Lonchura striata: one gene and its partners. The protein of the gene in region 1 interacts with the protein of each later gene in a pairwise test. Links are inferred from orthologs where the notes say so. Each region holds a gene or a part of one and is shown in the gene's direction. Other genes may lie near its edges. The genes, in order: AP2B1, NEU4, AP1M2 and SLC25A6.

What was found.
Region 2: the proteins of AP2B1 (region 1) and NEU4 interact in binary tests that used the Homo sapiens proteins (3 or more experiments, as listed by UniProt). The two-hybrid records come from large-scale screens. The link is inferred for Lonchura striata from reciprocal best matches to the Homo sapiens genes AP2B1 and NEU4.
Region 3: the proteins of AP2B1 (region 1) and AP1M2 interact in binary tests that used the Homo sapiens proteins (3 or more experiments, as listed by UniProt). The two-hybrid records come from large-scale screens. The link is inferred for Lonchura striata from reciprocal best matches to the Homo sapiens genes AP2B1 and AP1M2.
Region 4: the proteins of AP2B1 (region 1) and SLC25A6 interact in binary tests that used the Homo sapiens proteins (3 or more experiments, as listed by UniProt). The link is inferred for Lonchura striata from reciprocal best matches to the Homo sapiens genes AP2B1 and SLC25A6.

The regions. Positions count from the first base shown.
Region 1 is NC_134622.1:5,985,515-5,992,807, reverse strand, and holds the start of AP2B1 (AP-2 complex subunit beta), read left to right. Parts: upstream 1-4,285; 5' UTR 4,286-4,360; exon of another isoform or gene 4,361-4,369; intron 4,370-4,409; exon of another isoform or gene 4,410-4,433; intron 4,434-7,293. Other genes in the region: PEX12 (peroxisome assembly protein 12), read right to left, coding at 1,521-1,920, 2,572-3,116, 4,095-4,220. UniProt on the Homo sapiens protein: Component of the adaptor protein complex 2 (AP-2). Adaptor protein complexes function in protein transport via transport vesicles in different membrane traffic pathways.
Region 2 is NC_134612.1:5,205,113-5,212,521, forward strand, and holds the start of NEU4 (sialidase-4), read left to right. Parts: upstream 1-4,407; 5' UTR 4,408-4,495; intron 4,496-5,781; 5' UTR 5,782-5,786; coding exon 5,787-5,987; intron 5,988-6,318; coding exon 6,319-6,574; intron 6,575-6,980; coding exon 6,981-7,409. Other genes in the region: GAL3ST2 (galactose-3-O-sulfotransferase 2), read left to right, coding at 779-865, 1,287-1,566, 1,641-2,501. UniProt on the Homo sapiens protein: Exo-alpha-sialidase that catalyzes the hydrolytic cleavage of the terminal sialic acid (N-acetylneuraminic acid, Neu5Ac) of a glycan moiety in the catabolism of glycolipids, glycoproteins and oligosacharides.
Region 3 is NC_134623.1:1,063,537-1,070,468, reverse strand, and holds the start of AP1M2 (AP-1 complex subunit mu-2), read left to right. Parts: upstream 1-3,915; 5' UTR 3,916-3,970; coding exon 3,971-4,012; intron 4,013-6,162; coding exon 6,163-6,319; intron 6,320-6,398; coding exon 6,399-6,466; intron 6,467-6,563; coding exon 6,564-6,694; intron 6,695-6,932. Other genes in the region: SLC44A2 (choline transporter-like protein 2), read right to left, coding at 921-957. UniProt on the Homo sapiens protein: Subunit of clathrin-associated adaptor protein complex 1 that plays a role in protein sorting in the trans-Golgi network (TGN) and endosomes.
Region 4 is NC_134604.1:83,189,236-83,196,878, forward strand, and holds the start of SLC25A6 (ADP/ATP translocase 3), read left to right. Parts: upstream 1-4,624; 5' UTR 4,625-4,723; coding exon 4,724-4,834; intron 4,835-5,936; coding exon 5,937-6,423; intron 6,424-7,117; coding exon 7,118-7,258; intron 7,259-7,643. UniProt on the Homo sapiens protein: ADP:ATP antiporter that mediates import of ADP into the mitochondrial matrix for ATP synthesis, and export of ATP out to fuel the cell.

The DNA.
Region 1 (7,293 bases):
AAGTGATGTGGAAGCTCAGAAAATCTCACACCTCGACGTGATTCATCTTCCAGTAAGATGTGTGTCCTTACTGGCTCTCTAAAGGGAAGAGAAGTATCTTCATGGACTCCATAGCTACTGGAGAAGATAAATCAGAGTTTTTATTATTCCATAGTGGCACAGGTAGAAGGGTCAGGGAGGTGTACAGAGATAATAAAGCACCAGGAACAAATCTCGTTTATTAGGTGTTTGGGGAAGATTCAAATTACTGCATTTTCCCACATTATTCAATAACCTTATTCTCTTGCTTACAGGTGAAGGAGGATATTGGGGATTTTTATCTTCTGAAGCAGAGCTAAAGTGGAGAGAAAATGAGATGTCTGGATTAAATGTTAGAAAATATCTCTAAATCTGGAAAGACCAGAGTGGGGTCCTGGACTCTGTGCAGCAGACTTTGCTCTTGTATTCTCTAAGCACTGTCACCGTGATATCTGGAGTACTGCTGCTCCCTAGAGTAAGGAAAACAACCTTTCATCTGAAAAATCAGGTGTCAAGCAAGAGCCAGCCATGTCACACAGCTTTTATTTCCTCCTCTGTTCAGTGGAAGGATGTTTTGTTCCGATATGAATGTGCTACATGGTTGGGAATGGAATAATTGCAATGTAATGCTCAGACATTAAAGATTCTCAGCCTACAAAATGCTAATCTTACATCCACTACCATCACATGGAAAAATGAAAGCAGCTTTAGTCTTGTCTCTCTTATGTCTCTCTCTTGCTCCCCAGAGAAGCAAGCTGTTTTTTCAATAACCAGAAAAGAATTAAATTAGGTTCTCAGTCAAGAAAGAATTTCGCTTTATAAAAGCAGGTAATAATGAATGAAAAGACTTCTTTAACAATAAACCCCTCTCATCAATTGGGAGTTTGTTTTAATCTGGTTTGTCATTTTCTCTCTTGTGCAGAAAATGTCACATTCCTCTTGTCCATCTTAAACAGTCAAAAGTCTTAATTTAGAACTGTTGATGGGAATTTGGAGGGTGATGTTCTCAGTTCCAAGATGAAGAGCCTGAAAATGCAGGAGGCTGAAGAGCACAGGTTTAAGCCTGTCTCCACCTCTGACAAAGCCAGAGCTCACCCTGGGCAGCACAAGGGCCTGGGAAGCTGCCCAGGGAAGAAAAACATGCCTAGAGAATCTCCCTACCTCTTTAATTTGCTGGCTCACGCCCTCAAGCAGCACCAGTGCTGGTCTTCGATTTGGATAAGAGGAATGTAGATGTGAGGATCAATGTTTCCTCCCTTTCAGCTGGTCTTTTATGGCACTTCAGTGCTGGCTGACAGGCAGGGGCTGTATGATCCCTCTGCAACTGCCAGGATGTTTGAACAGCTTATCAGCAAAGGGCAGAGCATTGCCAGGGTGTGCAAAGGCAGCAAAGCTGACCAACCACCGAGTCCAAGGGCGCTGCAGAGCTCACCGAGGAGCTGCGGTGCTCTGAAGCCTTCCAAGGGATGCACAAAGAGGTGCTGGAGACTCCTGGCAGCCCTTCAGCTCTCAGGGGAGTAGAGTTTGACCAGGTGCTGCAGCTCTGTGGCATAGCCCGTGACCGGGCAGCGCTGGTGAGCCTTCACGTAGCCGTGGGCGCAGCGGTAGCAGAACACGAAGCCGGAGGTGGCCAGGGCCGTGGCGTTCACGCGGACCTTGCGGCACAGGGGGCACACGGTCCTCAGGCTGGGCAGGAGAGCAGAGCCGGGCTCCTGCTCCAGGTGCACGGGCGGTGGGGGCGTGGGCAGCGCTGTCAGGGACTTGATGGTCTCCTGGTTTTCTGAGGAGTACCACCAGTCCAGGAACTGGAGGAAGAACACGCTGACGGACAGGCCGGTGGACAGGGAGAAGGCAATGCCAGCCAGAGCTTTCCTCAGGGCCAACTGCACTCGTGAGATAAAGCTGGAGCAGAGAGAAGCAGGAGAGGTGGTTACTACTGCACATTTATCCATCTAGAAACCATGGGAAAAGCACCTGGGGAGTGACTGCTTCACACAGCTCCTTAACGCTAAGTTAGTTGGTCAATGCGTCCCCCTATTTGCACTTACTAGGATGTTTCAGATACTTTTTTTATTTTAAGGAATATCCAAATGCTGCTTTTTTGAGAAGTCTAAATCAGAAGAATTTGGATTAAAGGATCCTGGACCACAGAGTGTTTCACTCCTGCATCACAGGGTATTGAGTGTGCCCATGACTAACTGCTGCTTAGGAAAATCAAAGAAAGAAGTTTCAATCCTTTCAGCAACATTGCTGCAACTGTTGCACCTCCTTTGCTGGAAAAGTGCAGGGGAAGACTGAACAGAATAAAGGCTTCCATGCCCAAAAACGCCCCCAAATTCTGAAATATTACCACAAAATAGTTTAAAGCTAATCCCTGCTACTGGTTTACTTATTTTCACTCACAATACATCCTTTTGGAGCACATTTTGTCAAGAGCAAACTTTCATCTTGAATTTTTGGAGAACAAGGCACTTGTACTTGCAGCATCATCTCTAAATTTACATGCCCACAGAACCCCCTGGAGAGCAACACCTGAGCCAGGTTCTGCCATACCTGTGTGTTTGACTTGAGGTGGTTTCAGCCCATTTCTTCTCCAGGGCCTGGATATCCTCTGCAGTCAGCCTGACCAGGCGGACACCAGCCAGCTTTAGCATGGGGGAATGATGCTCAGCCTTGCCCAGGATGTAGCAGAGCTGCTGGATAAGAAACCAGCCCTCCCAGGTCATGTTTACATAGGGGTAGGCAGCTAGAAAGGCTCTGTAGAAGCGCTTCCAGGATGAGGAGGGAGGGTGGATGGAGTACTCATCCTCCTCCCTCAGGCTGGACACCAGTTTCTCCAGCTTCCCTTTCAGATAAGGAACAAGAACCAGCAGGAGCAGAGACTTCCAGTGCTGCCTCTTTGGCAGGCCAGCTGTGGCCAGAGGTCGCTGTCTGCCATCTCCCATTGGGATCCTCTTCATGCTGTAGAAGTTCTCAGAGAAGGATGCACTGCACCTGGCCAGGGAGTGCTGCTGGAGCAGCAAATCCAGAAGGACATAGATCTCATCAAACCAGTGCCAGAGGAACCCATACCGGGCAGGATTAGACTCAGCAAGCACCTGTTGGAAAAGGGACACAAAACAGGAGGAATCAGAGTGGTCTGGGCTGGAAGGAGCATTATAGATCATGCGGTTCCAGCCCGACACCTTCTGCTATCCCTGACTGCTCCAAGGCCCGTCCAATCTGGATTTGAACATCCCAGGGATGGGGCAGCCACAGCTTCTCTGGGCAGCCTGTGCCTGAGGAAGGGAAGGATGTAAAAAGCAGAGTAAAGCGCTAAATTATAAATCAGAGCAGCTATAAACGATGCCTCTCATTCTCACCATGTTATAAACGAGAATTTATTCAGCCAGATTAAAAATAAAAATAATTTTATTTGCGGTCAAATTCTATCTAGCCAGCCACACAGAAAGGACAGAGCCGAGCCCGGGATCGACCCTGGGTGTGCAACAAGGAGTCAGCCTCAGCAGAGGTTTTCTCCTATGCCCACACCTCCATCCTGGTACAAGCGGTTTTTATAGGGAAAATTCCGCCTGAGGCCAAGATTCCAGCAGTTAGTCTTTTCTTCTATTCAGAGTCTATAGGTTAATAAGATTTTCTTTTTTTGGTGATGAGGAGAAATAATTCAATGTCCGGAGTAGTTGAATTCTTGATGAGAGTTTACGGGAAGGCTGCATTCACATGGATCTGTCTGAGGATTTCCATATCCATCTTGGACGATCAGCACCGATGATCAACACCTGGAGCCCAGCCATGGCCCAGCTCCTGGCCGAGCCACATCTTTTTACTTATAAATCAGTTTCCAATATACACCCAGTCTCGCCTGCAAGGGTGCGGGGCGAACTAATACGACGGGCATGATTTAACAAGTATTCAATATTACATATTTCATACAAGGAATGGCGCAAATTATATTTATTACACATAACAACCACAATTCAGGTGGCTCCCAAGCGTCCCGCTGCCCCTGAGCGCGGCCGGAGTCACACGCCAGCCCCCCCTCCTCTCCCTTCACCCGCGGCCCGCCTCGCCCTCACCTTGACCAGGTGCTGCAGGGCGGGTTTCACGGCGGCCATCAGGCTGTCCTGGGCCACCGCCTCGAACACGGACGGCCGCTCCTCGCCGGCCGGGGCGGCCGTGAGGTGCGCGCCCAGCTCCGCCATGCCGCCGGCCCGCCGCCCCGCCGCCAGGGGGCTCTCCCGGAAGCGCGCGCCGCGCGCCGCCGCCGCTCTATGGTGGCGGGGCCGTCGCGAGCCCGCCCGGCCCCGCCGCTTCCGGTTCCGCCGCCGCCGCCCCCGCAGCGGTGAGTGCGGTCCGTGAGGGGGCCGGGGCTGAGGGCGCTGGGAGCGGCGGCCGGGCGGCGGGGAGGGGCGCTGGTGGGGAATGAGGAGGGGCTGAGCGGGTGCTGGGAGGGGATCTGGGAGAGGGGAGGGCGGCGGTGGGGTGCTGCCATAGGGTGGGGAGGGGTGGGTGGGGGAGAAGCTGTGAGGTACTGGGGTGGGGCGGGGAGAGAGGGATGCTGCTTAGGGACGATGGGAGGGGATACTGGGGGGCACTGGTATAGGTGGGAAGGGGATACTGGGAGAGATGAAGGGTACTGGGAGGGACACCTGGGGTGGGGTGGGAAGGGGCACCAGGGGGGTACTGGGAGGGGGTGAGTGCTCCTGGGAGGGGGAACTGGAGTGGCGTGGGGAGAGTCGCTGGTCAGGCACTGGGAGTGGTTCTGGAGGTGGACTGGAAGAGGATGGGAGGAGTGGGCAGGTGGTTGCAGAGGAGGTGGAGGGGTGAGGAGTGGGGTCAGTGGGTCCTGGGGTGAGGTGGGGGTGCTGGAGGATGGACTGGGATGGGAATGAGCACAGCAAGGTACTGGGGTAGCAGTGGGAGCAGTTAGGGATAAGGGCTGGGTACTAAGAGGGACTGGCAGGCAATGCTGGGAGGGAAACTGGGATTTGTGGGGAATGTGCCTGCAGCTGGGGGATCCTGGGAGAGATCTGGGGAAGGTCTGGTGGGCAGGGGGCTTAGGGGGATGCCAGTCTGGAGTGTGGGTGGGTGCTGGGAGTCCTGCTGGAGGTGTGGGAGGGGCTGGCAGCAAAGCTGGGATGGGGCTTCCAAGGAATGGTGGTAGGTGGTAGGAGGAACAGGTGGAATGGGGACCACCAAGGGGGTGTTGCGTCTCCAGAATGGGAACAAAATCCTTGTGCCAGCACAAGTTCAGGGCTGCAGAGCAGCTCTTCCTCTGCCATCCATGTTCCATTGTTGTGTTTATCTTCCTGGTTCTCCAGTGGCCCTGGGCCACACTTGGGCTGTCACACAGCTCCTTGAGAGGCTTTCCAGGAAAAATGGGTGGCACCACTTACACTGGAATTAAACCAGGGATCAGTTGAGAGATTTAGGGATTGATGGTTTCAGTGTCCAGGAGCTTGCCTTAATCCAAGACCCTTAAACCTGTCACCCTCCTGTGTGGGGTCAGTGCTGGGGAGCGGGTGAGGCTGCCTGGGGTCATGTGTGGGGTCAAGCAGGTGTTGGTCAGACACAGGGTCAGGTTTTCTGTGTGGGTTGGGGCTGAGGAGGCTTATCTTGCTTTGGTTCAGCCTACACTGAAATATCAAGCCACTGTTTGTAGCATTAAGCATTGCTGGAGCTTTCTGGAGCCATTCCTCATTCTCATCTCTTCTCCTTTGCTGGGGTTGGATCAGGAGGAGCCTTTTGCTGTCAGCTTTGAACACCTCTTACCTGTTTCCATCTCAGCAAGTGCTGGGCATAGAACAATAGTGAGGAGGGGCAGTCTAAAGTAGATTTTTCTTCTGAAAATACAAGGCTGTTCTTGATGTTCTAATTTACCTTAGCTCTCCTGGGTTTAGATTTGCGTACAAGGAGCTGGCATTTTCTGCAGTGACACAAACAGCAGTGTTTTAAATATCTGGTTCCATTTGCTGTAAAGAATGCTGAGATTGTTAGTGATGAGATAATAGCCAGTGCTGCTGGCAGGCTGTCTCTGAACAGTGTGCAAAGCAAGCTCTGACACACATGAAGCAGCAATCTGTGTGCTTGTGAGAAAAGGAGCTTTACCCTCTGCTGCACCTGGAATAGGGCAGGCTGGTTGTTGACCTAAGCTCTCATTTAGATCCATGAAAGAAGGTTGGAAAGGCATGAGCTGTGCTTAGCCCTGTCTGAGCGTTTCTAGGATTCTTCATGTTTCCAAGTATATGAAAGGAGAAAAACAGCAAAATATGTTGCACTTGAGGTTTAACAACCATCTCTGAAAGCCAGCAGGGTTCCTTCCTCTCTGTGTGTGGCTTTATTCAAATGGGCTGATGTTTATGGTGTTTGGGCTGGGTTTTTTTTCCCTCCCCTCCATTTTCTCTCTAATCTGCTCTGGCCCCAGTTAAAGCTGTGTTAGAGCAGCTCAGCTGAGATGTGACCCTGGATGACAAATCCCCACATAATGCAAACATCAAGGCCACGTTCAGTGCTTTGGGCATGGCACTGTGCCAAATACTCTCACAGAGAAAAACATTTTAAGTCTTCCTTTTAAGCTGAGCTCAAACCTGAAGGACTCTGTCAGCAGTAATATTGCAGCTGAGCACAGGCTCTGATTTTAATTACAAAACAAGCTTCACAGCAGCCTCTGCTTTCAGGGGGGGCTGTTAGATTTTTGCTGGAAGAATTGCATTCATTGTGGCTCACATGGCTTTCCCAACTCTGTTTTGGAAGGAGGTTAAACCTCCTCTGCACCAGGAATGTGTTTCCAGAGCTGTCTCCAGGCTTGGCAGGAGCAGAAAGGGAGAGAAATCAAACCAAACCCAGTAATTCAGCCTAATTGGATGAGGTGGAAACCAGGTGGGCACAGGGCAGGCAGCAGCTCCAGGAAACTGGGAAAAGCAACAGGTTGATCCTCATGCAGATGTTTGGCAATTGGAAAGGATGATCCCAGGAGAAAGGGGTGGAAATTGGGGCATTGCCCGTCGGCAGCTGCTTGGAATTCAACTGCTGAGGTGTTCAGCTGGTCCAGGTGGATGGGGAAAAATGGAATGGTGATGGCATTGGGGTTGGTGAAGGGATGAGGGAGGAAGGAGTTAAGGAGGAACAATCTGACTTTGCTGCTGGGCAGTCCTGGAGTTCAAAGCTGTGCTGGTCCTTTTGTTGCTGAGCCAGCAAGACCTGCAGGGTTTAGAGGCAAGACAAGGCAGCATTTAGAGAACAGATGATTTACTGCTTTGCTGGCAGCCTTTAAGG
Region 2 (7,409 bases), on another chromosome or scaffold:
GGCTTCAAACCTTCAAAAGATCCCTTCTGAGTCCCAGCTGGAGTACACTGGTTATCATGGTATCATAGGATTGTTTGAATTGGAAGAGACATTAATGATCATGCCACTCCAACCCCCTGCAATGTGCAGGGAACCTTTGATACATCATGGTTGCTTAATTAGCGCTGGAAAATACTCCACCCTCATCATTATCCACCCTCCCCCTTTTCAAAGTGAGGTGTAATAAAACCATTACAGGTTCTGTTGGGTTATTTGATTTTCTGCCTTGAGAAATCATATTTATATTGCAAAAGAACCTCAGTTTAGTGGATTTTTTTCCTTAGTTTAGTGGGTTTTTTTGCAATCCCCATCTTCTGGAGTGATGTGATTACAGGAGCTGCTCAGGTTTCTTGCCAGGGAAGTCTTTATGTCCCTACAAAGGGCTCGTTTTCTGGTGAATAATCTAGGAGTTTGAATAGTGAATAAGCTCTAAAGCCCCAGAAAACCAAAAGAAAAGCAAAACAAAAGGCAGCCAAGCAGAGCAGGAGGCTGTGGGAAGAGCTTAGGCTCTGCCTGAAGCACATTGTGTCTTGCCAAAGGCTGAATTAGGAGAGTAAAAGTGAAAGTGCAATTTCTCACTGTCTTGCCTCTAACACAGCTTGGGGTCCAAAGGTGGCTGCCAAAACTGAGATTTAAAACTGTGCTCACATTGATTAAAGTTCCCAAGGGCAAGATGTGAAATGCGGTGGTTTGGAGGACTATTGGATAAAAATCCACTGAAACTTATTTTTTTTCCCAGGCATGCCAGGTGTCTCATCATTTTCAGTTTCTGCCTGGGACTTTCCTGCCTCTCAGGATTCCTCCATATGAAGAATAAGAATTACAGGTGAGTCAGAAGCAAGGCTGCACAGTTTCCTGTACCTGGAGCAGCTGGGACTGATCTCTGACACCTGATTTATTTCTCATGAGGCCTTGGGTTGATGTTCAAAGGGTGGTGGCTTAAAACTAGGTCTTAGATCCGTGTTTGGGGAAGGAATTGATTTAGCCAAAGTGCAGCCTCTTAGGGACCAAACCAGCTGTGCAGGGAAAGGGGATTAAGCTAAAGTCTTTGGTAAATGAGAATCTGGAGAGGGGGAAAACTGGAGGGGGAAAACCTCTACACTAGAGGGTTGGGGCTGACTCAGATAAAGCCTTGGACCATCTGCAGGTGTGGTGTCAGAGGAGCACCTGGGTGTGGCTTTGCCAGGTCTCAGAGATGGGGTGCAGCACCAGAGAGTCTCTTTGCCCCATGTGTCACCTTCCTGCAGCATCTCGAAGAGCCACGAGGAGCTGCTGATCCCTCCCACGCTGTGCCATGCCAAGACGAACGTCATGTTCCTCAAAACCCACAAGACTGCCAGCAGCACTGTGCTCAACATCATGTTCAGGTTCGCAGAGAGGTACAACCTCACTGTCGCCCTCCCTGCTGACCAGCTCGTCCACCTGGGATACCCAAGGACTTTTGTGGCCCACTTTGTGGAGGGCTTTGAAACCATAGGCCAAAATTACAACATCATGTGCAATCACCTGCGGTTTAACCCCTTGGAGGTAAGAAAGAGCCATGACACCTGAGGAGAAACTTGGTTGGGACAGGACTAACCTCTTCTTCCTTCCACAAATAGGTAAAAAAGGTGATGGCAGCCAACACTTTCTACTTCTCCATCCTGAGGAACCCCATTCTTCTGCTGGAGTCTTCCTACATCTACTACAAGGACTCTGTGCCTGCCTTCCGGAGTTCCAAGAATGTGAACGAATTCCTGGAATCACCCACAAAGTATTACCACCCAGCAGATTACAGGAAAAACATGTACGCCAGGAATATCATGTGGTTTGACTTTGGCTACGATAACAACGCGAAGGATGACAAGAACTACACCCAGGCTGTCCTGGAAGAGATCGAGCAGAACTTCCACCTCATCTTGATAGCAGACTACTTTGATGAGTCCATGATCCTCTTGAAGCACACTTTGTGCTGGGACCTGGATGATGTGATTTACTTCAAGCTCAATTCCAGAAGCCAGGACACTGTCCAGACGTTGACTGCGGAAAGCGAGGAGCAGATAAAAGTGTGGTGCTCGCTGGACTGGAAGCTCTACTTGCACTTCAACCAGAGCTTCTGGAGGAGAATTGAGCAGACCATAGGGCTCAGGGTGCTGGGAGAGGAGGTGGATCACCTGCGGACCAGACAGAAGGAGCTCATGGAGACTTGTCTCTCAGAGCAGGAGGCAGTGAGGAAGGATCACATCAGGAATAAAGCTCTTCTGCCTTTCCAGTCAGGGGCTGCAAATATCCTGGGTTACAACCTCAAACAAGACTTGGACAACAAGACTCTGAGAACCTGCCAGAAAATGGTCATACCAGAGCTCCAGTACACGTCCTACCTTTATGCTGTCCAACACCCGCACAAGAAGAGGAAGGATGTGGGGCTGCCATTGCTGTGGACCAGTCTCCAGGAGAAGATGCAGCTCCCACAGTCCAACTAGGACATGTGGCAACACACTGTGGCTTCCCACCGCTTTGCATCACCCCTTGTCTGACATGTAACTGACCCACAGGACTCTTGTGCATTGAGAGGAAGGCAGTGGGGGCTTTGTTTAGGGACACCAAGTTGGTGGCTGGTCTCTTTTTGGGGACCTTGAGCCAAAGGCTTTGCATCATCCAGATCCTGGGTGATCCCACCTGCCTGCTTCTGGCTGGAGGGAGCCAGGCTGGCTGCAACTGGTCAAGATATTCCAGCCTCTTAATCATTAATCGGGAGCGTGATCATTTGCCTTCATTTCATTTTATTTGATATCCATCAGTCTGGTCACAGCTCACTGGAGCAAGTACTGACTTTGGAGGGTTTAGGGGACAGGGAGGGCGGTGTGAGAAGGGGACACAGTGCTGGAAGAAGCAGGAGTCCACGCTCATGAGGACTAACCACCACACGCTGCTGGAGCTGCCTTTGGTGTGGGGGTCTCAGGCATCCTGCCCAAAGCCAGGCAGGCTGGGCTGCCTTGCCCAGTGGCATGTAAGCTGTGCCTCTCACAAGTGTCACCAGGTGAATGGGACACTGTCCCACATAGGAGAGCTCGGTGCTCCCCTGGGAGGGGGTTTCGTGGTTTTGACCTTTGCTCTCAGGCAAGGGTGCCCGGGCATGGATGTTCCATTGGGTGCAGCATCCCCAAAGCCCTTTATCAGCAGACACGTTTTTGGGGCTCCCATTGCTGTGTTGGCCAAACTCTCCAGCAGGGATTAGGAGGGGATGGAGTGAGGGACAGCTTTGGGCACACTGGTACATCCAGATCCCTACTGCTGTCCTGACCAGCACAAGCAGGAGGAGATGCTGGCCCAGCTTTAAAACACTGGGGTTTTGTCAGCGTAAGTTGGCACTGACAGAAGTGTTGGGAGCAGGTGACAAGCAGTGACACCAAATCCATTTGGCTTGGTGCTGCCATCCTCACAAACCTTCCTGGCACTGCTGCAGCAGCAGGGCCCTGGATGGCAGGATGGGGAGGATGCATCTGGGGTCCAGATGTTGCCTTGGGGGTGAAGATGTGGGGCAGCAGCTCCAGCTAGGAAGCAGGAATGATGCTGTCAGGGGGAGAGGGGTGAGAAGCAGAGCCAGGATTTTCCTCAGTTGTGTTTAGCAGCTGAGGCAGGGGTTAACCAGCCCAGGTGTCCAGCAGGAACAATCCAGATTAAAAGCACTTTCCCTCACTAAAATTAACCCGAGGCTTTTGTGGCAATCAGGCGGAGCTGCTGGAGCCACACGTGGTCACCCTGGGCCATCCCAGGGGCCCTTCCCTGGCAATTCTCCAGCCTCCACCTCAATTTTCCCCTTGGAGCTTCTGATGCGTGATTTGCCCTATGGATTTTGTCAAGCCCTTTTAGCTAAACTGATCATACAGATGGAATATTGGAATATTAGAGTATAGGTATAAAAATGGTTTCTTAGTAGCTGATCTATGTGTATGTGGGGCTCCTGGGAAGTCTGGGGATCCTGGGAGGGCTGAGATTCCTGGGAAGTTTGTGCATTCTCAGGTGCTGGGGGTGCCAATAGGGCTGGGGATCCTGGAAAGGCTGGGAGGGCTGGAGGTCCATGGAGGACTGGGGGTCCCGGGACCCTCTGGACCACAGCTCCCAGGCTGGGGAGCTCACGGCGGGGTGGGCTGTGGTGAGCACGGGCTGGAGCCCCTGGGCAGGGAAGTGTAGCCTCTCCCAGCCTGCAGGAGGAGGGAAACTGAGGCAGGAGATGCGATTCCCGCCCCATGGACCCCCTTGCTTCCCCTGGCGGGGTTCCGGGCGAGGTGTCTCGGGGCTCTCCCGGGCCACGGGGGCGCCTTCGTGCCGCCGCTGGCTCAGCGTCGCTGCGGGGCCGCGCCGGGGCAGCCCGTGACCGGCGGGGGTCCCTGCCGGGGACGCGGCAGCTCTGCGGACAGCCAGCCTGCCTCCTGCTGCGGCCGGGGACACGGCACACTCCGCTGAGCAGGACCCGGTGAGTGCCTTCCCTTTCTCCGGGGGGTGTCGGCTCAGCAAAAGCTCCCGATGAACGCACAGCCGAGAGCGGCTCCTGACTGCTCCGCCCGAGCTCCTCCTGGAAAATGTAGGGACATGGAAGCTGGCGACAGCTGACCTGTCCCTGAAGGAAGGGCTTTGGGAACAGCTCTCACCCACTGCCGCAGGGACAGCCCGGCTGGGGACCCCCCTGTCCGTGCTGCGCACCTCGGGATCCCCCCAGGGAGCGGGGGAAACGAGGGATCCGCTGGGTGCGCTGCGCTGGAGGCGGCAGAGGAGCAGGAGCAGCCCCGACCCTGTCCCGATGAGCCTGGGCTGCTCTGGAGGTCCCTGCCCTCCCCGTGCTGCTGCAGGAGGAGAGCATGGAGCTGCAGGTCTCACCCTGCTCTTCGCTCACTGGCCTTCATTTCCCGGACAAGCATCTTAAAGATCGTTATAAATGAATCAGTCAATTTAATAACTAAAGGAATCCGTTAAATTGAATCAAAGTAAAATCTGGAAAAGCTACAAGCAAGTCAGCACCGAGCCAGGCGATCGGTGCTGGGTGAACAGGGTCTGGACTAATGCAGCACTATACCCTAGTAGTTCACAGGGTACTGATTTTACAGGCTTTGTTTTATACTGTTTCTAGACTTAGTGGGATTCTGGGGGGGGCGGTGGGGGGGAGGTGTCTTCCTGTTTCTTTTTGTCCTTTTTTCACATATTCATGCGTGTACTTTTCTTGTGGTGTTTCTAAATGGAGGTTTTCCTGGAATACTCTGATTGCTAAAATCCTGTTAAATGGTAATATCTTCAAATATTTTGTTCCGGCAATGAATATTTATCTTATCATTCAAGGCATATTTTCTAGACAGAATAATCCTTCAGAATAACCATATTTTGAGACAGGAATTCACCCTGTGTATATTGCTCTTTCCCATCACTTGGTTCTATTAAAAAGACTACTGTATTTTTTAGTCCCGAGCACAAATTTATTCTAAATTATATATTACAAAGATCAAATTCACTTCATTTTATTTTGGGGTCCCCAGGTCAGCCTCCTTGCTGATACACTATGCCCTGACCCATCTCTGAGCTGTGGTGACTTGCCAGTGGACGCTCTCTCCACCCCAGCCCTGTCTGTCAGCCCCTGCTCCCGGGGGGTTACCCAGACCCAAGCCCACCAAGTAAAACCCCAAACCCTTCCAAGAACAGCCCCGTGCCCCTGGCCATGCCCAGCAGCCGGCCTCCCCTCCTTCATCGGCCCACCACAACCTTCTGCTGCAGCCACCATGGGCTCCCGGCACTTCCCGGCCCGGACCGTGCTCTTCGAGAAGGAGTCCAGCGGTGTCACGTACCGCGTGCCCGCCCTGCTCTACCTGCCCTGCGTGGCCAAGCTGCTGGCGTTCGCCGAGGAGCGGCTCAGCGCGGACGATGCCCACGCCAACCTGCTGGTGCTGCGCCGCGGCACCATCTACGGCAGCTACGTGGAGGTGGGACGGGGCTGCACCGGCGTGGGGACACGCTGGGGCTGTCCTCATCGCTTGGTGGGGCACAGCCAGGCTCCTGGAGACAGCCGCGTGGGAGAGGGGCTGGCGTGGGTGGAGTGAATCCCAGGGTCACGGGTTGGTTTTGCTTGGAAGGGACCTCAAAGGCCATTTCATTCCGTGCCCTGCTGTGAGCAGGGACACCTTCCGCTATCCCTGGTTGCTCCAAGCCCTGTCCAGCCCAGCCAGGAGCACTTCAGGGATGAGCAAAAAGTTGGGCATGGTCCTCACCCCTCTCTGTCCTCTCCTTCTCCTCCTCCTCCTCCTCCCTGGGCAGTGGGAAGACATGCGAGTGCTGGAGACGGCAACGCTGCAGCACCACCGGTCAATGAACCCCTGCCCCCTCTACGATGAGTTCACGGGCACGCTCTTCCTCTTCTTCATCACGGTGCTGGGCAGGACGCCTGAAGCCTACCAGATTGTCACTGGCCAAAATGTCACCCGCCTCTGCTGTGTCACCAGCACTGACCAGGGCCTGAGCTGGAGCACAGCCACAGACCTGACACAGCAGGTCATTGGGGCGACCATCAAAGGTACCCAGCTGCAGGGGGTGAGGAGAGGGGAGAGCAGCCAGCACGGAGGGGTGTCCCTGGGTTTTGGTCTCCTGGAACCACCAGTGACGTTGCTGGGGTGATTTTGACGCAGGAATCCCACAGGCTTCCAAAAAGGTGGAAGAGGACCTCAAGCAGAGGGGAAAAAGATGGAGGGAGTATGCATATCAGTTACTGAGAGTGGGGAGAAGATGGAGAGGCCCCACAGCCACGGGGAGCATGTGTGAGGACAACTAGGCAGCGCTGGGCTCTGTTGCCCTCCCACCCCACTGCTTGGCTTGACTGGGAGGAATCCCTGGGCACCTTTCCACACGGGGCCTGGCAGGGCGCTGTGGGGGTCACTCTTTACCCCATCCCACCTTCACCCCATCCCATCTCCGCTCCCCAGACTGGGCGACATTCGCGCTGGGCCCCGGGCACGGGATCCAGCTGCGTTCCGGCCGGCTGCTGGTGCCAGCCTACAGTTACCACATCGACTGCAAGGAGTGCTTCGGGCAGCTCTGCAAGACCACCCCGCACTCCTTCGCCTTCTACAGCGACGACCACGGCCGCGGCTGGCGCTTCGGGGAGTTCATCCCCAACCTGCAGACGGGCGAGTGCCAGCTGGTCTCTGTGGACGAGGAGGACGGATCCAACGTCCTCTACTGCAACGCCCGCAGCCCCTTGGGCTTCAGGGTCCAGGCGCTCAGCACGGATGACGGGGCCGTGTTCCACGGGGGGCAGCTGGTGCAGCGGCTGGTGGAGCCGCCCCACGGCTGTCACGGCAGCGTCATCGGCTTCCCCGCGCCGCTCGTGTACGTCCGCGCCGCCTCCCGGG
Region 3 (6,932 bases), on another chromosome or scaffold:
TTTGGGGTCTCATTTTCTTCGGGATATTTTTGGGGCCCCATTTTCTTCGGGATATTTTTGGGGTCTCATTTTCTTCGGGATATTTTTGGGGTCTCGTTTGTTTTGGGATATTTTTGGGGGTTCATTTTCTTCGGGATATTTTTGGGGGTTCGTTTCCTTTGGGATATTTTTGGGGGTTCATTTTCTTCGGGATATTTTTGGGGCTCGTTTGTTTTGGGATATTTTTGGGGTCTCGTTTCCTTTGGGATATTTTTGGGGTCTCGTTTACTTTGGGATATTTTTGGGGCCCCGTTTCCTTTGGGATATTTTTGGGGGTTCGTTTTCTTCGGGATATTTTTGGGGTTTGTTTCCTTTGGGATATTTTTGGGGGTTCGTTTCCTTCGGGATATTTTTGGGGCCCCATTTTCTTTGGGATATTTTTGGGGGGGCTCCGTTTTCCGGGGGGCCGCTCTCCCCTCTCCGAACCCCCCGAACCCCCGGAACCGATCCCGGGCCAGCCCCGGGGCCGCCGCTCCCGGTGACGCCGCGGAACCGCCGGAGCCGGTTTTTATCCCGGCCGCGGCTGCCGGGCCGGTCCTGCGGTTACCGGGGAGCTTCACCCCAAAATCCCCCAAAAAACCCCCAAAAAACCAACCGCGGGCCCCCCAAAAAACCGCGGGGGGGGGGGGGCGCGGCCGATTTTACTTTCGCTTTTTATCTCCCGGTTTTCCGCCCGGTTTCGGTTCGTTTTTCCGCCTTTCCGTTTCTCTCCTCCCGCCGCCCGCCCGTAGGAACGCCCCAAAACCGCCGGTAACCCCCCAAAAAAACCCCCCGGACCCACCGGGAGCCCCGAACGGAGCCCCCCGACCCCCCAAAAAATTCCCCCGAGCTCCGGTCGCCGTTCCGACCCCCCCAAAATCCGCCGCCCCCGCCGCCGTTACCGTGTTTGCCGTAGTAGTTGTCCCCGTGTCCCCCCATCCCGGACCCGTTCCCGTTCCCGTTCCCGTTCGCACCGGGCTGGGCAGGGCTCAGGCGACCCCGCCCCAAAATCCGCCCTCCGGGGCACGAACGGGAGCCAAGCCCCGCCCCGGGAGCGGCGGAGCCCCGGTGCACCGGGGAGAGCGCGGAGGAGCGGGCACCGGCACCGGGGGGCAGCGGGGAGAGCTCCGGTCCCGGGGTTACCGAGAATTCACACACCGGGGCAAAGCGAGGAGCTCCGGTACCGGGGTTACCGGGAATTCAGACACTGGGGCAAAGCGAGGAGCTCCGGTCCCGGTACCGGGAAGCTCCGGGGTTACCGGGGGATTCAGACACGGGAGCAAACAGAGGAGCTCCGGTACCGGGAATCTCCGGGGTTACCGGGGGATTCTGGCACCGGGGCAAAGCGAGGAGCTCCGGTACCGGGGTTACCGGGAGATTCAGGCACCGGGGCAAAGCGAGGAGCTCCGGTCCCGGTACCGGGAAGCTCCGGGGTTACCGGGGGATTCAGACACGGGAGCAAACAGAGGAGCTCCGGTCCCGGGAATCTCCGGGGTTACCGGGGAATTCTGGCACCGGGGCAAACCGAGGAGCTCCGGTCCCGGGGTTACCGGGAATTCAGCCACCGGGGCAAACAGAGGAGCTCCGGTCCCGGTACCGGGAAGCTCCGGGGCGCGGTCCGGCCCCGCCAGACCCGGTCCGGAGGCCGGTACCGGGCGGGGAGTGTCCGGTCGGTGCCGGGAAAAGGGCGGCGGGCGGTGCCGGCTCCCCGCCGCCGTGACGCCGGTTCCAGCCCCGCCCCGGTTCTCGTGCGGTAAATAAATCACCGGGAGCGGCCGCCGGTGATGTCAGCACCGGGAACAAAGAGCGGGCCGGGAAAAACGGGGGGTCCCGCCGCTCGGGGGGCTCCGGTGCCCGCGGGGAGGGGCCCGGGGCTGCCTCCCGGGTCCCCTCCCTCCCTCCGGTACCGGAGCGGGCACCGGGGACACCGCCGGGACCCCGCCCGGGAGCCCGAGCCCCCCAAAATGGGGGTCACGAAATGGGGGTCCTGAAATGGGGGTCCTGAAATGGGGGTCACGAAATGGGAGTCACGAAATGGGGGTCCTGAAATGGGGGTCCTGAAATGGGGGACACGAAATGGGGGTCCTGAAATGGGGTCACGAAATGGGGGACCCGAAATGGGGTCCTGAAATGGGGGTCACGAAATGGGGGACACGAAATGGGGGTCACGAAATGGGGGTCACCAAAATGGGGGTCACAAAATGGGGGTCACGAAATGGGGGTCACGAAATGGGGGTCACGAAATGGGGGTCACGAAATGGGGGTCCTGAAATGGGGGTCACGAAATGGGGGACACGAAATGGGGGTCACGAAATGGGGGTCCTGAAATGGGGGTCACCAAAATGGGGGTCACGAATTGGGGGTCCTGAAATGGGGGACACGAAATGGGGGTCCTGAAATGGGGGTCACGAAATGGGGGTCACGAAATGGGGGTCCTGAAATGGGGGTCACGAAATGGGGGTCCTGAAATGGGGGTCTCGAAATGGGGGTCCCGAAATGGGGGTCACGAATTGGGGGTCACGAATTGGGGTCTCCAAATGGGGGTCCCGAAATGGGGGTCACGAAATGGGGGTCACGAAATGGGGGTCCTGAAATGGGGGACCCGAAATGGGGGTCACGAAATGGGGGTCCCGAAATGGGGGTCCTGAAATGGGGGTCACGAAATGGGGGTCACCAAAATGGGGTCGCCAAAATGGGGGTTCCAAAACGGGGTCCCCAAACGCGGGGGTCCCCAAAATGGGGGTCTCCAAACGTGGGGGTCTCCAAGGGTGGGGGTCCCCAAATCCGGGGGTCCCCAAAATGGGGGTTCCAAAACGGGGTCTCCAAACGCGGGGGTCACCAAAATGGGGGTCCCCAAAACGGGGGTCCCCAAAATGGGGTCACCAAAATGGGGGTCCCCAAAACGGGGGTCCCCAAAATGGGGTCACCAAAATGGGGGTCCCCAAAACGGGGGTCCCCAAAATGGGGTCACCAAAATGGGGGTCCCCAAAACGGGGGTCCCCAAGGGGGGGGGGTCCCCAAAACTGGGTTCCCCAAAACGGGGATTCCCCAAAATGGGGGTCCCGAAGCCGGGGGTCCCAACCCCGGGGGTTCGGGGGGACCCCCGGGCGGGGCGCGGGGCGGATGCTCGGTACCGTAATCGCCGTCCGGGTCCCTCCTGCCCGCGGGCCGGTCCATGGCGGCTCTGGGCGGCTCCTCCGGTAGCACCGGAGCCCCCCCGGTATCCCCGGTATCCCCGGTACCCCCGGGCTGTGCCTGCGGGCGGGGCGGCTCCGGGCCCGGCCCTCAGCACCGATCCGCCCCCGGGGCCGGGCCCGGGCCCGTCCCGCCCCTCCCGGGGCTCCGGTGGGACCGGAGGATGCGGGGGGGGGGGTGCGGGAATTGGAAGGTGCCCGAAGGGAATTGGGGGGTCTGGGGGCTTTTGGGGGGGTCACGCAGAGTGGGGGATGTCGGCATGGAGACCCCCACCCCGGAGGGGAGGATGTGGGGGTGCAGCGATCCCCCTCCCGTGGGGGTCACCCGTGGGGGGGGGGTCTGGGGGTGCAGGGACCACCCAAGGTGGGGGGTCTGATGGAGACCCCTCATGGGTGGGGGGCACAGGGGGTCTGGGGGGGCTGCAGCGACCCCCAGGGTGGGGAATCCAGCCATCAGAAGCTGCGGGGACACCCCCCCCCCCCCCAAAAAAGGAAATTTTGGGGGCGCAGAGACCCCCTCCCCACCGTGGGGCACGCGGGGGTCCCAAACCCACCTTTGGGTGTCACCCCACGCCCCCCACCCCAAAACGGAGGGGTGGGGCTGGGGGTGGCCGTGGAGTGGGCGAGGTTGGGGGGTCTCCCCCCAGCAGGGGAGGGGGTGAGACCCCCGGTGTGGGGAGAGGGGCGGGGCCGTCCCCTTTAAGGCGCGGCCGCGCACCTGGGCAGGTGACGGTGCCGGAGGTGACGGCGCGGGAGCCATGGCCGCCTCCGCCCTCTTCATCCTGGACCTCAAGGGGAAGGTGAGACCCCCCGACAGACCCCCAAAACCCGCCGGGGGTCGCCCCGCTGTCCCCTCTGTCCCTAAAGGTCAGCTGAGGTCAGTGGTGGATTTTGGGGAGGGGGTTTCTCCACTGTGACCCCCTCCCCACACTCACCACGACCACCCCAAACCCTAACGTGGGTGGGGGTCTCCCCTCTGTTGGGGCTGGGGGTCTCCCCACTGGGGTACCCTCTGTCCTTATCAGTGGCCGTGACCCCGTGGATTTTGGGGAGGGGGTTTCTCCACCTGTGACCCCCTCCCCACACCCACCACGACCACCCCAAACCCTACCGTGGGTGGGGGTCTCCCCTCTGTTGGGTCTGGGGGTCTCCCCACTGGGGTCCCCTCTGTCCCTAAAGGTCAGCCAAGGTCAGTGGTGGTGACCCCCCCTGTGACCCCGTGGATTTTGGGGAGGGGGTTTCTCCACTGTGACCCCCTCCCCACACCCACCACGACCACCCTACTTGGGGTGGGGGTCTCCCCACTGTCCCCTCTGTCCCTGAAGGTCAGCCAAGGTCAGTGGTGGTGACCCCCCCATGACCCCGTGGATTTTGGGGATTTTGGGGAGGGGGTTTCTCCACTGTGACCCCCTCCCCACACCGCCACGACCACCCCAAACCCTAACGTGGGTGGGGGTCTCCCCTCTGCCCGGGCTGGGGGTCTCCCCACTGGGGTCCCCTCTGTCCCTAAAGGTCAGCCAAGGTCAGTGGTGGTGACCCCCCCCCCGTGACCCCGTGGATTTTGGGGAGGGGGTTTCTCCACGTGTGACCCCCTCCCCACACCCACCACGACCACCCTACTTGGGGTGGGGGTCTCCCCACTGTCCTCTCTGTCCCTAAAGGTCAGCCAAGGTCAGTGGTGGTGACCCCCCCGTGACCCCGTGGATTTTGGGGATTTTGGGGAGGGGGTTTCTCCACTGTGACCCCCTCCCCACACCCCCACGACCACCCCAAACCCTAATGTGGGTGGGGGTCTCCCCTCTGTTGGGGCTGGGGGTCTCCCCACTGGGGTCCCCTCTGTCCCTAAAGGTCAGCCAAGGTCAGTGGTGGTGACCCCCCCCGTGACCCCGTGGATTTTGGGGAGGGGGTTTCTCCACCTGTGACCCCCTCCCCACACCCACCACGACCACCCTACTTGGGGTGGGGGTCTCCCCACTGTCCCCTCTGTCCCTGAAGGTCAGCCAAGGTCAGTGGTGGTGACCCCCCCATGACCCCGTGGATTTTGGGGATTTTGGGGAGGGGGTTTCTCCACTGTGACCCCCTCCCCACACCGCCACGACCACCCCAAACCCTAACGTGGGTGGGGGTCTCCCCTCTGCCCGGGCTGGGGGTCTCCCCACTGGGGTCCCCTCTGTCCCTAAAGGTCAGCCAAGGTCAGTGGTGGTGACCCCCCCCCCGTGACCCCGTGGATTTTGGGGAGGGGGTTTCTCCACGTGTGACCCCCTCCCCACACCCACCACGACCACCCTACTTGGGGTGGGGGTCTCCCCACTGTCCTCTCTGTCCCTAAAGGTCAGCCAAGGTCAGTGGTGGTGACCCCCCCGTGACCCCGTGGATTTTGGGGATTTTGGGGAGGGGGTTTCTCCACTGTGACCCCCTCCCCACACCCCCACGACCACCCCAAACCCTAATGTGGGTGGGGGTCTCCCCTCTGTTGGGGCTGGGGGTCTCCCCACTGGGGTCCCCTCTGTCCCTAAAGGTCAGCCAAGGTCAGTGGTGGTGACCCCCCCCGTGACCCCGTGGATTTTGGGGAGGGGGTTTCTCCACCTGTGACCCCCTCCCCACACCCACCACGACCACCCTACTTGGGGTGGGGGTCTCCCCACTGTCCCCTCTGTCCCTGAAGGTCAGCCAAGGTCAGTGGTGGTGACCCCCCCGTGACCCCGTGGATTTTGGGGATTTTGGGGAGGGGGTTTCTCCACTGTGACCCCTCCCCACACCCCCACGACCACCCCAAACCCTACTTGGGGTGGGGGTCTCCCCTCTGTTGGGGCTGGGGTCTCCCCACTGCCCCCTCTGCCCTTCTCAGTGACCGTGACCCCCCCCCCGACCCCGAGGCGTGCCGAGCAACTTGGGGAGAGGGGAAATTGGGGTGGGGGTCCCCATTTCTGACCCCCCGGCCGCCCCGCAGCCGCTGATCAGCCGCAGCTACAAGGGGGACGTGGGGCTGGGGGACATCGAGAACTTCCTGGGGGTCCTGCAGCAGCGCGAGGAGGAGGGGACGCTGACGCCCGTCCTCCCCTGCGGCCACCTCCACTTCCTGTGGATCAAACACGCCAACCTCTACCGTATCCTTCCGGGACCCCCTCCCCAAAATCACCCCGGGACCCCTCCCCAGCCTCGGGTTTTTCCTTAAGCCCACCTCAGTGGTGGCCACCACCAAGAAGAACGGCAACGCCTCCTTGGTCTTCTCCTTCCTCTACAAGGTGGTGGAGGTGAGCTGGGGAGGGGTCTCGGGTGGGTCTGGGGGTGAGGACCACCCTAATTTAGGGTTTTCCCCGCACCCCGGGGTGCTGGGACCCCCTCCCCAAGGTGTTCTGCGAGTACTTCAAGGAGCTGGAGGAGGAGAGCGTCCGCGACAACTTCGTCATCGTCTACGAGCTGCTGGACGAGCTGATGGACTTCGGCTTCCCGCAGACCACGGACAGCAAGATCCTGCAGGAGTGAGCGTGGGGAGGGGGCCACGGGATCCCCTTCCCACCCCGCTGCCCCTTCCCACCCCAATTCCCATCCCTTTCCCACCCCAATCCTCGTTCCCACCCCAATTCCCATCCCTATCCCACCCCAATCTCCATCCCTATCCCACCCCAATCCTCGTTCCCACCCCAATTCCCATCCCCTTCCCACCCCAATCCTTGTTCCCACCCCAATTCCCATCCCCTTCCCACCCCAATCCTTGTT
Region 4 (7,643 bases), on another chromosome or scaffold:
AGCTGCTCTAAGCTGTTTGAATCAGAAACAATCAAATCCTAAAGTTGGCACTCTTGTAACTGTCACAGACTTTAAAACTGTGCCCCTAAGTACTATGTCTCTGACTGTAAAATTTGAATAGAATGTGTTTGGCTACCACCCAGCCTTCATTTACTCTGTGATTAAACACAACAATAAGCATTAGTCCCTTGGGCATGGTGTCTGTGGTCATGTACCACAGCTTTGCACTCTCAGGATAATTAAGCGTTGGAGCAGATGGTCCAGGGAGGTTGTGGAATCTCTGTCCTTGGAGGCTTCCATGTGTGAAGCCAGTCCTAAAGAAGCTGAGCTGATTGCAGAGCTGCCCTGCTATGAGTGGGAGGCTGAACTAGAGAGCTCCTGTGGTCTGTTTCAGACTCAGGTGTTCTACAATCATGTGATGCAGCCAGTCACCTGAGGAATTATAAGCTCATTTTACTAATATACAAATTAAGTTTTTCAGTTGCTCTGAATATCTTTTGCTGACTGGTAGAAGGAGTGGATTTAGTAGTCTTAACACTGAAAAGATTCTAAGCAATATGCATAACTAAGGAAAGATTTCCTAACATGAAGAATGAGGAGGGGTTAAGTTTTAAAACTTTTTGATTATTATCGAATGTCTGAGCTGTACAAATTGGAATGGCTCTGAGGAGATTGTATTAAAGTGCAGAAAGGTATGAATGTTACACTGCGCTTCCTAATAAAATCACTCTGAACTGCTGCTATTTTCATCTGAGGTGGTGTAAGGCCAAAAGGCAAGTACGTATCGCAATGCTTTTGTCAGTAGCCTTCTCTTCACATCCCTTTCCCCTCACAAGTCTGAATATGGAGAAGAAGGGTCTGTAAATCAGATGATTTAAGTTCTATTTTCATCCTTAGGTCAGTCCCACCACAAAGAATTTTAGGTCCTACAGAAATAACATACAGAATGTATACAGAATGTATTGAACAGAAACATTGACTTCTCCTTTGCTTCTGTAATGCTTGCCATCCACTCTTCTCTCTGCTTGGCATTTCAACATGAATGTGAAACAGCAGTATATCTCAAAGAAATGCAACTCTATTCCTGTCTTACTGTTTTCTATAGTCATCATGCCAAGTCTACAGAAGTTATCCCCTTTTTCCTCTGAAAACAGAGACGTGATTTGACTTGTGAGTGTTTCATCACTCCATACTGTGAAAGGGAATTTCCTGGGGTTTGTGAGAGGAGTGGATTATTCATTGATTAGTGGATTTAATAGCAGAGCAAATCTATAAATGATAAAGGAAATCACCCAGGTCTTGTAGTTTGCACCCCTCTATATGGCAGCAGAAATTGTCTTGCCTGATAATGGATTAGAACTGTTGCATGCATTTGTTTTTAAACTAGGCTGTGCAATTTTGCTGGTTGAAATGGTGTTGGATAATGAAAAGAAGAACAGGAGCACAGCTCTGCTGCAGTCTTTCAACATGCTTGTGCAGACAGAAGGAAAGGAGAGAAGTGGCTCTGAATATCAAGCTTTGCTGGAACAACATGGATTCACAGATATCAGAATCAGAATAACAGGAAATTTGTTAGATGCCATTCTCTGTGTTAAGACCTAGAAAAAACGTATTAAGCAGTAGTCTGGATGTCTTATGTTTGATGTTTTGTAATTATCCAAATACATTCTCAACTTCCCATCAATACCATAAACAAGAAATGTAACGAGAAATGTCAGCTTTTTGGTGTTACTTCTCAAAAGGGGGAAAGATTGATTACATTTATTTTAGACTTCAGTAGAATGATGCCAGGAGATTCTGTGGCTGCACAACATGTGTAGGACACAAATGGTGTCATCAGCCTAAGGGCAGTATTCACACTGCGAGAAATCACTGTTTCTTCATAGTTGGTGCAAGTAGAATAGTAGAGTTTTTAGACCAGCGCACATTGCTTTGCCCCTGTTCTAGGAGGTTAATGTTGGTATCATTTTAATGCTACATCACCATCCATTTTAGTATCATTTTATATTATACCCTCTACTGTAAATAAACATACTCTAATCAACTCTGGAAACTGCTACTGCAATGGTGTAAGATTGGAAACAAGAACTGGAGCAGCAGCTTCCTGAGAGAGTCAAGATGGACTGCTCTGCTTTGAGAGAGGCTTCCAAAAAAAGGCAGTTATATAAAAAGCACAAGTTTTCCCTGTGATTGTAATTTGAGATTAAATGTGAGGGCACAGAGTTTGTTTCAGGAACATCATCCCACACCGTTTTAGCTCTACTTAATTTTGAGCTCCCAAGCTGAACAGAACATGACAATTACAGACTGAACAAGTTCCCCATTACAAGTTATGTGTCTTTTACCTTCATTTTTCACACTGATGATACTCAAGAGTCTTAGAATGTGAAGTTCTTTTTAAATCAATAGAAAATTTTATGGTGAACAATATCTCAAGTCTTGCAGACAAAGTATTGTCCTAAGAGAGTATTAACATTCAGTTATGGGCTTTTTTTTAAAAAAAAGCCCATAACTATGTGTGCCTCCCTGAATGAATGTACCACAGCATTTCATAAAATTATGTTTAGAATATGGTCTTCTAACACCCTATGTGCAAAACCCTCTGTGAGCACAGGAGTCACTTCAGTCTATTATGCTTCAGAAGAGCACAGTTTACTTTTGATCTTCTGGTATGCAAAAAAAAAAAGTATAGTGACATATCTTGTACTAGAGCAGAGACAAAGACTATGCCTGGCACTTTTTCTTCTCACAACATGCTCTCTTGAGAGACATGCTCTCATTTTGAAATCCTGCAAATTACATATATGTGTAAGCAGTGGTTTCTGGCATCTCAGCTACTGCAGCTTTGTGGTTCACCAGTCGCCTGTTTAAAAAAAAGGTTTGGCCTTATTTACTTTGGTTGGAAACACCCACTAAAAGTGAAAGCAGGTGATGTGTACTAATGCCCTCCAGCTAGAACAATTTCAACACATTTTAGAAAGAATAGGTATAACTTCAGACAGAAGTTTGACAAGTTCAAAATATCAATTTCAGCATACAGTAAAATTAGCAAAGTCACTGATAGAAACCACACCTGTCTTGGTAGGGCCTGAGTGCCTGCCAGGAGTGCTTGCTCTGACAGCCTGCAGAGGAGGTTTTCACAACATCTAACTTCAAGTGCCCATACAAGAAGTTGGAACCACCCTGTCCTATGGTCCCACAGGAAACTGCAGCTAAGTCCTTTGGTATTCCGTTGTCTTGGATCAGTTCAGTGATATACAGAAAAGCCCCATGATGTGACCCTTGGCACTGGCAGTACTAAGGAGGAGGTGGGAACAGAACTTGGGAATAAGGATATGCCATGGATTAGCATTACCCAGAAGGTAGAATGGAGCAAAACTGACAGTGCCTGAAATCTGCTCCCCTCCACCCGAGAGCTGCTGCTGCCCCACAGGGAGCCCATGCAGAAAGCTGTGTCTTCCTTCTAGACGGGCTTCGAGCAATTGCTGCAGAGCCTGCTAGTTCACTAGCTTGTGAATGTGCTGCTCATTGACTACTGCTTGGGCCCACAGACCCACACCCCAAAGCCAGTGCTCCAGCAGCTCACACTCAGCTTCACAGAATCAGAATCACAGAATCAGTTATGTAGGAAAAGAAATCTCAGACCATTAAGTACAATCCCTGACCCAAAACCACATCAGCAGATCATGGCACCAAGTGCCACATCTTTGCTTAGATACACCAAGGGACTTTCACAAGACCACTTCCCTGGACAGTCCATTCTAATGTCTCATCACCCTTTCTGTGAAAAAATTCCTCCTAACGTTCAACCCAACCCTCCCCATGTAAGGCTCGAGGCTGTTTTCCAGGCAGCTAGCTGTCCTGTCGCTGGCTGCGTGGGAAAAGAGGCCGACCCCCACCTGGCTACAGCCTCCTTTTGGTGGTTCTAGAGAGCGGTAAGGTCACCCATGAGCCTCCTTTTCTCCAGGCTAACCAGCCCCAGCTCCCTTAGTCACTTCTCACGGGACTTGTGCTTCACCAGCTTCATTCTCCTTATCTGCATCCACTCCAACACTTCAATGTCTTTCCTGGACTAAAGGGCCCAGAACTGGGCACAGTACTCGAGGAGTGGCTTCACCAGTGCCGAGTGCAGGGGCAGGATTACTGCCCTGGTCCTCTTAGCCAGGATGCCATTGACTTTCCTGGGCACCAGCTGGCTCATTTAACAATGCTGCCACCAGCACCCAGCGTCCCTTTTACGCAGGGCAGTTTCCTAGCCAGTCTGCCACCAGTCTGTAGCCCTGCACGGCGTTGTCGTCACCCAAGTGCATTTGGCATTTGGTCCTGTTGAATGAACCTCATACAGTTAGCGCCCATCGATCGCTCTGCAGAGCCTGCGTGCCGGGCGGTACGGGGGCCCGCTGGGCTGTGCAGGCTGGGCGGGCGCTACCGGCAGCGGCGATGGCGGAGAGCGCTCGGGCCGGCGGCCGCGGCGGGGCCAATGGCGCGGGCAGCGGGCGGGCCGCGGCGGGTGACGCGGCGCTGCGACACTGGCGCCGCAGCGGGGCGGAGCGCGAGGCCGGGCCGCGGGCGGGCCGCGTCCCACCCCCCGTGCGGCTGGCCAATGGGGCGGCGGGGCGTGGCCGGCGCGGCCGGCATTAAGCCCATGCGCGGGGCCGCTCCCGCCCTTTCGGCTTGAGCGGCAGCAGCGCTTCCTTCCCGGCGGCTCCGGCGCGGCGCGAACATGGCGGACCAGGCCATCTCCTTCCTCAAGGACTTTCTGGCGGGCGGCGTCGCCGCCGCCATCAGCAAGACGGCGGTGGCGCCCATCGAGCGGGTCAAGCTCTTGCTCCAGGTCAGCGGTGCGGGCGAGAGAGGGCGGCGCGGGCGGCGCCCGTCGCTGCCCCCGTGGGCGCCGGGCCGGGCGGGGGCCGCGGCCAGCGCCGGACAAAGGGCGCGAGCGAGGCGGCGGCGGCTGGCGGAAGGGTCACGTGAGCGGCCGCGGGGAAGCCGAAGCCGGTCCCGCCATGCGGGGCGGAGAGCGGAGGGAGGGCCGGGCCGAGGGGGGCGGCCGCCGATGGTGTCACTTCCTGCCGCCCCCGCTCCCGGCGCCCGGGGCACGGCAGGGAGGGGAGGGCGGCCGCTCTCCGCCGCCATCTTGGCGGCCTCCACGTGACGCGCGCCCGGGCCGCGATTGGGCGGCGGGCGGGGCGGGGCCGGGGCGCGGCCGGCGCGCGCGGCCCGGCGTGACCCGCGGCGCCCCAAGGTGACTCGAGTGACCTTCGCCGCGCTCCCCCGGCCCCGCGGGCACCTCTGCCGCCCTAACGCGGCTCTCGGGAGACTCCCTCCCCAGGCCCGGCTTCGTCAGTAAAGGCTCTCAGCTCTACGTATGCCCGGCGTATTTGTCGTGGTGTATTTGTCTTATACTTGCCCTTGTACTTCACCGAATCAGTTTGGTAAAGACCTCAGAGAGATCATGAAGCCCAACCTAATGCCACGTAGTCTAATTTAAAGTAGACTGTGGCGCTAAGTGCCTCATCCAGTCTTAAGCACTTCCAGGGATGGTTGCTTCACTAGTCCCTAGGCATTCCGTTCCAAAGTCTAAACACTTCTTATCTGAAGAAATTCCTCCCCTGCTTCCCCCTAAACCTTCCTTGGTACAGCTTGAGGCTGTGTTCTTTTGTCATGTCACTAGTTGCCTGGGAGGAGAGGCTGGCCCCCACCTTGCTACAGTCTCCCTTCAGGTAGTAGAGGAATTGCTCACAGTTTTCTGTTCTTGTTTTGCCAAATTCTGATTTCTGGAAAAGCTTGAAAGCAATTTTTAGTCTTCTTCTTTGTAATACCAACAATGGCCATTCAGAATTAGCAACTTTGTTTTATAGTAAAAGCAGGTTTAAGCCCAGCTGCAGCATAGACCTGTAAAGGCAAGTGATCAATATTTGTATTTTTACTTGCAGGTGCAACATGCAAGCAAACAGATTGCTGCTGATAAGCAGTACAAGGGCATCATCGATTGTGTAGTGCGTATTCCAAAGGAACAAGGAGTGCTGTCTTTTTGGCGAGGAAACTTGGCAAATGTCATCAGATACTTCCCAACTCAAGCTCTTAATTTTGCCTTCAAGGATAAGTATAAGCAGGTGTTTCTGGGAGGTGTAGACAAGCACACTCAGTTCTGGAGGTATTTTGCTGGTAACCTGGCATCTGGTGGTGCAGCTGGAGCCACTTCCCTCTGCTTTGTCTACCCCTTGGATTTTGCAAGAACCCGTTTGGCTGCTGATGTTGGAAAAGCTGGTGCAGACAGAGAATTCTCTGGTCTCGGGGACTGTCTAGTCAAAATCACCAAGTCTGATGGTGTGCGTGGCTTGTACCAAGGGTTCAATGTCTCTGTGCAAGGCATCATCATCTATAGAGCTGCCTACTTTGGGATCTATGATACAGCAAAAGGTAATATTTCAGAGGGGATCTGAAAAACCTGTTTTTAGAATTGCATTCTCTGTTTTTGGATATGTGAAAGTGAAGGGGGATATCAGTGCCACATCCCTGACACTGCTGTATACAAAGGAAAACTTGTACATGTATTAATGGGAGCAGCCTACCTGCAAGTACTGGTTTTGTACTTCAAGCAGTTGCTACTAAGGCCAGGAGAGTATGTTGGTGACCAGACAGAATAAGAATAATTTATTTTTTGTTCAGTGCATACTGAAGTTACGTTGGACCAGTTCAAGTGTGTTAAGCAGAATGGGACTGAGCAGTGCCTTCTGCAAAGTAATTTTTAAGCTTGACATCTGGGGAAATAAGCCATTAGTGCTAGTTTGTAGTGTAATGTTATCCACAGGGACAGTGACTTTAAGTGATGTATTTTTAATAAAAGTGTAGTGAATAGTCAAGTCTTCTCATGCCAGTCTAAAAAGAATGCTTGTGCTTAAAATACTTAAACTGTGATTACTGAGAAGAAAGTCTTCCAAATACAGCTTCAGTATGTTTAAAGTTTGTGAAATGTTATGCTGCAATTTTATTTAGACTATGGGTTTACAGTGTTTCATACTAGTTTATCTAGTAAAATAACTGTCATGCAGAGAGTGCACTAGAGGAGGATGTGCAAGGTAAAAAACTAATTGCCATTTTTGTTTCACTGCAGGCATGCTCCCAGATCCCAGAAACACTCACATTGTTATCAGCTGGATGATCGCCCAGACAGTGACGGCTGTGGCTGGCGTTGTCTCCTATCCTTTCGATACAGTGCGGCGTAGAATGATGATGCAGTCAGGACGCAAAGGAGGTAGGCTCTAAATCCATGGAGCTGTTAATGCTGTTGAAAAAGCTTTAACAAGATTAAGTTCTTTTTTACTAGTAGCCATCCTCAGAGTTAGAGTTTATTGTTCCAAAAATCTGGTTTATTTTATTGTACTCAAATGAGGAAATGCAGTAAGGCTCAACCTGAGATTATCAGGATTTATGCTGAGGACTTTTCATTATGGAATATGAAATTAAAAAATGGACTGCCTGTTTGCACTGTTAGATTAAACAAAGGTATGAAAAAGGAGGCATAATATTTTAGCAAGTATTGTGTTACAAGTTTTAAATTGTGGTTTGGGACATCACAAAGCAGTTAAGTGAAACAGGACAGTTGTTAAAATTACCTGAGATAAAATAGGAATTAAGAA